Drosophila melanogaster: one gene and its partner. Changing the gene in region 1 together with any one later gene gives a genetic interaction. Each region holds a gene or a part of one and is shown on either strand. Other genes may lie near its edges. The genes, in order: fon and Tsp.

Region 1 (3,925 bases):
GGCTGAGCAGCTGGCTCAGCTGGCTGTTCTGCTGGAAGTTCTGGCCATAAGAACTGCCAAACTGAGAGTTAAAGGCGGCATTGCTGCCGAAGTTGGTGGCGGCATTGCTGCCGAAGTTGGTGGCGGCATTGCTGCCGAAGTTGGAGGCAGCATTGCTGCCAAAGGTGGAGGCGGCATTCGATCCGTAAGTCAAACGGCTGCTGGCAACTGGCTGAACCAGCTGTGGTGCGGACGCAGTGGTGGTCACCTTTCGTTGATAGTAGTGTGCGGTTTGAACTGGGACCGTCTGGGTCACCTGGGTAGGCTGTTCAACGATACGTTCCTCGTGATGAACGTAACGCTGGGAGCCACCGGGAATGGTGTAGACCACCTGTTGCGGGGTGGACACAATCTTCTCGTGCCTGTAATACTCGGAAGTGGGGACGGACTGCACGGTTTGAACTCCGCTGAGCAGCTGAGCACTGGAGTCCACGGCGTTTACGCCACCAAAGTCAACCTTGTTGCCGGCATTGGCGTTATCAGCAAACTCCACATTGCTGCCCACCTGGTGAGCGGCGGTGCTGCCGAAGTTGGAGGCGGAGCTGGTCTGAAAGGCGGCGTTGCTGGAGAAGGAGCTACCGAAGGAGGCAGCATTCTGGGCGCCAAAGGAGGCGGCATTCTGGGCGCCAAAGCCAGCAGCATTCTGAGCGCCAAAGGAGGCAGCATTCTGGCCGCCAAAACCGGAGGCAAAGTTAGAGCCGAAGGAACTTCCAACACCAGCACCAATGGTGTTCGTACCAGCAGAACCACCCAAAGTCTCAACGGCACCACCTAATCCGCCAGCGGAGGCACCTTCGGCGGATTCAGTCGCACCCACGGAGTCGTAGGAGCTCTCGAGTTTTCCCAGAGCAGAGTCATCAACCTGAGCGGAGGCGCCATCGACGCCAGCTCCAAAGCTACCGCTATAACCTCCACCGTAGCCGGCGTTCTTGCGAGCCTGCTCCACCGCTTGTCCGTGGGTACTGTAGTGGCTGAGGATTAAGGCAGTTGACAATTAATAGAGAGAGATTGTCATTGGGTCTTTTAAAAGATCTTAGAATCAACAATTTTAAATTGTAAAAGCAACTCAAAATAAACAACAAAAATTTAATTCAGCATTGATCTTAGTTTTGCGGTGCTAAACTAAGCTATATATTTGTATTCCTTTGTTGATTCTAGACATATTTTTCTAAAATTTAAATTTCAAAATTTTGAAGTACCATGTCAGCCAATGGGAATATTTCAATTTTCTCGATTCAGAAAAGAAAGATCGTTAACATTTGCAACAAGGCACTTACCGAGAGTGGAAACTGTCACGTTTGGTTCTCCCCAAACTTTTAGATTTAAAAAATTTAAAAAACAAACCATTAGAATGTATATTAAATGAGGCACTTCAAATTAAAATTACCTTTGTTGGAAATCTGTAATGATAAAAAGAGGAAAATGTATTAGTTAACGTACGCAAGAAGATTTCAAAATCCCATTTAATCAAAACCTAAATACGAAATTGATAGAAATTTAATCACTTTAAGTTTTTCGTTTAAAGATATTTCTCATTCACTTTAGAACATATTTTTATTTCCAAAGAGTTCACTTTTTAATTATTATATTTTATTACAACACTAATCAAGGGAAAATAGTTTGTTTGCCAGGCTTGCCAGGACCACTTGTTTAATTTTCTGAACTAGTTGATATTCGGGAAACGAGTGCACTACCTCCACAGACCACACCCAGGCAAAGGGCCAAAATCAGCAGCTTATTCATTTTGGCAATTCGTTTTAGCTCTTGACCGAAAAATACGTTCGACACTCGCGATTTAAATTGTACTAATGCAATCGAGCGAAGGGAGCTCCGCTTTAAAGCCTCAGACGGCGGTGATAAGAGCCACTTATGTATAACTCAGTCTTGAACTGATTGATTTCTGACCTAGAGAGAATGCCACTGATAGTACACGTAGAATTGGAGCTCGCAATTGGTGCAGAAAGCTGCGAGTGATGAAAGTTAATTGCGACATCATCGCCCTATATAGAATATTTTTTATATTCAGCTTTGATGATCGGCGTGGAACCTTGCTCAAGAAAGACCCAGTATATAGTTGCCATGTACGTCTGCCGACATTATCACATTTGCGATTAATTACATATATGTATACAAATTATGTTTATAGGTGGGAACACAATGCTAATGAGCTCCCATTGAACTTAGAAAAAACTGCGAGCAAGGTGAAGGAATATATAGAAAAAACCTTGAGCTTCAAATTAAATTCAGGAAGTACTAACATAGAACTATCTAAGTGGTTATGGTGGGTTTTCCAATTTTTGTCAGCATATTGTGGTTACGAAAATAAAAAGTCGGAAATAACAGAACAGAATAATATAGAATCAACTTCAATGAGATAGAACACTTCCGGTCACCTTTGATACGACCATCCGTCCAATACAAAACGAAAACATTGAAACAAATTAAGTAAATCTAATCTAGCAAACTGAATTGTAAATACTAAGCATTTATATACCTAGCAATGCCAACAGCAACGTCAAAATCAAGGTCAATATACAAATGTATATACAAATTTGCATTTTTTTTTTGTTTTGCCTAAGCCAGAAAGGGAGAACGAAACTTTCTAATTAAAGAAAGCTTCGCTTTAAGCCCCCGCCGATAAGAAAGTCCGGCAATTTGACAATAAAATACACGTATATTATTTTTATATTTTATACATATTCAATGGAAGCGGTTTGCTTTGTCAGACCGGAGTAAATGTTAGCCTAGCCACCAGTGGAGGGTCTCCGCCGATCTTTCTAGGAGTGCACCGAATACGAGGTGATCTTTCCGTTGTCGTTGACCGTGGTCTGGGCTCCACGTCGACTGGTTCCGTCTCCGTTGCTGTGGCTGAAGGACGAGACCGAGACGCCCTTGTAGCCACCACCGCTGCCACCACCTCCTCCGGAGCTGCTGGAGCTGGAGAACGAGGATCCACCACCGCTTCCGCCGCCAAAGCGATTCACAATGTTGGGAGAGGCCTGAGAAAGAGTTAAATCAGCCATTTGATTATTTGAGCTTATAACCTATTTATATAATATTTTAATTACTTTTAACTATTCACAGATACAACAGATACTTTAAATGTATATCCACTTTGACCGCACAAGGCAGTTGGATTTCTTACCGGATTGGATGGGCTAATGAAGGCCGTCTGGCGATAGCCATTGGAACCGATAGATCCGGAAGCTGATGCATAGCTGGGTGCATAGCGATGTGAGTTGTAGGATCCCGATCCAGATCCAGACCCGGATCCAGAGCTGGAACTGAAGCTAGAGCTGGTGCCTCCTCTGTACCGATTCTGGCGCACTAGATTGTCGTGGTAGGCCTGTTGAGCGGCGATCTGTTGCTGGATGCGACTGCGCACAAAATGACATTAGAATAAGGAAAAACATACCGTGATACCGTATTAGTGATTGGGATTAGTTAAGGACTAGCTACTTGTATTTACATATCGTTGTCGTTGACAAGAGATGCATCCGCGGATGCATAAGCATTGCCAGCCGTGGCCAGACCAGTTATAGCTCTACAAGAACAGATATATTCAAGCGTTAGGTTTACCCATAGCCCGCCGTATCACTACCCAAAGATCCCAAACAATCTATCCCCTGGATATGATCGATGCTCACTGTTGGTTGGCGAAGTTCTGGGCCAAAATATGATTCGTCAGCTGCTGGTGGAATAGATACGGATCGATGATGCCAAAGTTGGGTGAAGTGCCGCCATAGTCATCGTAATCGTAATAGCCACTACCGCCACCACCACCGGTACCCACATAGCTGCTGTGTCCACCGCCACTGTTATAGCTTCCCGTATAGCCACCGGCTCCTCCTCCACTGCTGGCATACCCTCCGGCGTAACCGCCGGC
Region 2 (3,925 bases), about 13 Mb from region 1:
AGTATCTCCCAACTATTGGTTACTACATCTTCAAGATTAATACCCCTTCGGGTCACAACGCCACTGCCGCTAAATAATATATTCAAATAATAAAATAACCGCAAGTCTGAAATGTCTCTCGAACAGGCAGTTATAAATTGTTATGGGGATCTTTGCAGTGGGCGTCTTTTAATTGAATCGCTTGGAATTGAGTAGCAGAGCCCAGTAGAAGCTGCAAAGTGATTGGGAAATCGAGCCAAATAAAATTAAGTATTTTAACCGTTGTTGGGGAATGTGACCAGCTTCATTTGGTCAACATCATTAGCAATCTGTGGCTGCCGTTTCGAATCACAATTCATATTTGTTGGAGGGGAAAATATTCTGTGCTCTGACCTTATATGATCCACATAATTATAGTTCTCGCAAAGGCATAAACCTCAATCTGATCTGCTTTAAATACGTGTGGAAAGTCCGGTAATTAATAAATTATGACTCGACTGCGGTATTTATGGCGCCAATGCAGATAAGATCTCCCCAGATCCCCCATAGATTAATGTCGCTCGAATGGTGAGGATGCCACAGGCCGATTTTGCCGCCAGATTGCGGTTGACTTGGGTGTGGCTAATTAATATGTATCGATAGTATTTGAATTACAACAACAATTAGCTTGATTTATCATCAGATATAAAATGGCGGTGAAATGAATAGAAATCTTGTGAGGCGCTCATAAAAAATATTCATAGATTGGCCTATCAACAACTTGGTGATTATCATGCAATAAAGTCGAATGAAAAGGAGTTAAACTGCTGTGGGTGTGCAGCTAGAAGATGCGATTCTTTAGTCTACAGTCTGTTAAGATTGAAAACAAGAAATTAGCATTTAGCTATTAATAACTTTCTAAATGAATGATATTAATAAACATAGACCCAAGTCGTGATTACTTCCGTATATCTTTCGTTTATCTTTACGATCCTGAGAATATGTTAAAAATGAGATGATGCATCATTATTAACGCAACTTCTTTAAGAACAACTTAATATGCTCTAGTACCTTCCAGGCACTTGAATATGGAATGCACTTCGCACCTGGCCACTTGGCGCACTCATTTTCCGAGTGAGCGGAGTGTAGCCCAGATTTTGGCCACACGAATAAGCAGCATATGTAGAAGCCCGGAGGTCTGGCCCACCTTCACACTCACCTCGTGGTCAAGGACGCTGCTCTTGCTCTAGAGGTGCCCCCACTGCGGATGTGGATGTGATCCAAGTGATCCACTTGGCGGGACGGAACTGACAGCTCCTTGTTGTTTGTGCGGCTCGTTTGCGCCACTTGCGGCTGTCAACGCGCAATTTAGAATGGAAACGACCTGAGTTATTTTTACGAGTATTGCCACACTTTTCCGCCGCTTTTTCCTGGACGCCCGCACAGACACTTTTATTATGTTGTACTTTTGCAGAGCGAAAGATCAAACACGTCGCAAGGGTATCTTCACACTAAAAGAATCGATAACGAAACGGATGCATTAGACCATTTAAACCCTTTTCGAAATACGCGCCAGGTAGAAAAGCTGGATTTTGGAATGGGGACACACGCGAAGATTTCGTGGAGTCGATTTTATGGAATCGCGGTGGAGAACACGCGACGCCAATGCCTACAATCCTCCAGCAACGACAACTGCTCCGCAACTGACTCGCCCGTTCGTGCCAATAAAAATTAAAACACTTTTATGCTATTAAGGCGAACGCGACGCGATCTTGGACACCTTGGATGCAGAGGATGCTGCTTGAGGATCGATCGGATTTAAAAATATGGGCAAAAAACTTTGTACAGCGCGGGCTGATTTCAAAAGCACACTTAGGAAGCGTTTGAAAACTGAAACATTCTCGCGATAGTTCGATCGATTGATGCTACTGATTTATCGCCAAAACTAATCACTGATCACTTATCGAAGCACCTAGGACACGCACCGTCTTGTTCAACGTTCCAACGCGAACTGAAACTGAAAATTTGAAAATGCAAAGGGAATGATCGACGCGCAGCGTCGACTGAGGCAGCGGCAGCGCTGTTGGCTGGAGCAACTTGGAGCAGCGACAACTTGTTGTTGCCTTTCTGCGTTTCTGTTTTGTTCTCAGCTGTTGTTGTTGCTCTTGGGAGAAACGCGGCATTTTGTCTTCGTTTGTGTTTCTTTTGATTTGACGCGTGAGTAAGCCGCGACGCCCACGTGCAAAATTTGCGTAAACATCGACAGTGTGGCCAGATCGCTGCTGAATAATTGAGGAAGTGAGTGGAAAAAGTGGTAGTCAACTTTCAGATCTCATATCTTCCGCTTCCTTAGTAAAAAATAAAATTTTATAATGGGTAATCTTCTTTAAAATATAGGAAATTTAAAATTTATTTTCTATATAGAAAATGTTATTTTAAATATTCTGTAACGATCAGCGCAGTTTTCGTTTGTGCGCTTTAAGTTGCAATTATGTAATATATTGTTTAAAACTGCTGTGTAATTTGTAAGAATAAATATTTTGGTTAAAAGTCGCTCTCTGTGATTATATTTATGGGTAATTACTTATTGTCTTCAGTTCATTAGTTTATCCACCAATTATTATGGTGGAGTCGCCCACTTGGGCTGCCCCAATTGTAGATCGTTTGGGCCATTAAACTGAAACTCAATCCCGAAACATGCTTACATTGTAGGCCCGTTTAAGGCCATTAAATCGGATTCGTGCGAACCCTTTTCCGATAATGCGTCCATCCTTGTTTTCGACCACCACCTCCAAATCCAAAGGAACTCGGTGGATGGGGCCAGACTTTTGCTCTTTTGAAATGGAGATCGTAAATAAACGGCACGCTCTGCAGGCATTCAAAACAGACGAACTACTCGTTAAAACCAGAGCCCAAAATGATATGCATATGGCACCTATTAATGGCTACTTATGCAGTACAAGTGTCCCCCATTTCGGAACTCCCTCCACTCCTATTTGCCGTTGACACGGGACTGATGCGTAACACGACAGTAGCATCGGGATCCAAGGGAAAGGGAAGTTGAATGAATGGCCCGACCTGTTCGTCATTATGTCGCCGGCATGTCAGCGGACAGTTGGAGGAGGGCATTATGCAGATGTGCATTTATCACGGAGTTGCGGTGCTGCGGACACACCCGAGATGCTATCCCACATCAACGCTGCATATTTTGCCGCTTTTCGGACAGCGGCGACCACTTGCTGAAATTTCATTATGTGCGTGATTTATAAATAAGCCTCGCTGGCCCCACGCCCCATTCCACACACTCCTCGTCCGAATCCTCCTCGAGTTGTTCCCAGCATCTTCAGTGGTTACGAGCTAAGACGTCCCACGCACTTTTCGACGCCGCAACAGCAACATCAAGTCTGATCTCCTCCGAAATGCCCCACCTTTACCCCACCACCTCGCACTGCAGTTCAGTGCGTATTAATCATAAAATTGTATTATTAACATGTTTATTTTTCGGTCTTCAAGATTCGATTACACGCATTCTTCCTGCTCTTCGTGTGCAGCGCTTTCTGGAGTGTTTTTTTTTCCTCAGCGAACGTGACTTTGTTGTGCAGTGTAACGAAAGTGAGCTACTTTCTAACACTCTTAGGGGGGTTTGGGATTATCATCAGCCTTCAATTGCTCTAGGAAATATTGTCATTTTACGACTTCGCCGGTTAATTGGGTTACGTGGCTTTGGCCACTGATGCCGACCAGGCCAGATGCCTTGCACCTGGAAATAGTGTGGGAGTTGGCAAGACATGGTTTGATTGGAGTGAAGTTGGTCAAGCTTCCGGCTTAATGATTCAAAGGAGAGTGTTTAATGGCAGTTGATAAATATGCATATCTAAGTGCAAATATTTACCTAAAGGTGTTACCATAGCTCTCCATTCACCCTACAAACTAAAAGCAAGTGCTTATCACTTAATTTCCAACTCAG

Evidence for each region.
Region 2: of fon (region 1) and Tsp, changing one enhances a phenotype caused by changing the other (phenotypic enhancement), as found in Drosophila melanogaster (one study listed by BioGRID).

The regions. Positions count from the first base shown.
Region 1 is NT_033779.5:19,384,354-19,388,278, forward strand, and holds the start of fon (fondue), read right to left. Parts: upstream 1,853-3,925; 5' UTR 1,783-1,852; coding exon 1,734-1,782; intron 1,440-1,733; coding exon 1,427-1,439; intron 1,353-1,426; coding exon 1,317-1,352; intron 1,011-1,316; coding exon 1-1,010. Other genes in the region: CG17549 (uncharacterized protein), read right to left, coding at 2,817-3,038, 3,185-3,416, 3,509-3,583, 3,687-3,925.
Region 2 is NT_033779.5:6,707,110-6,711,034, forward strand, and holds the start of Tsp (thrombospondin), read right to left. Parts: upstream 1,978-3,925; 5' UTR 1,178-1,977; intron 1-1,177.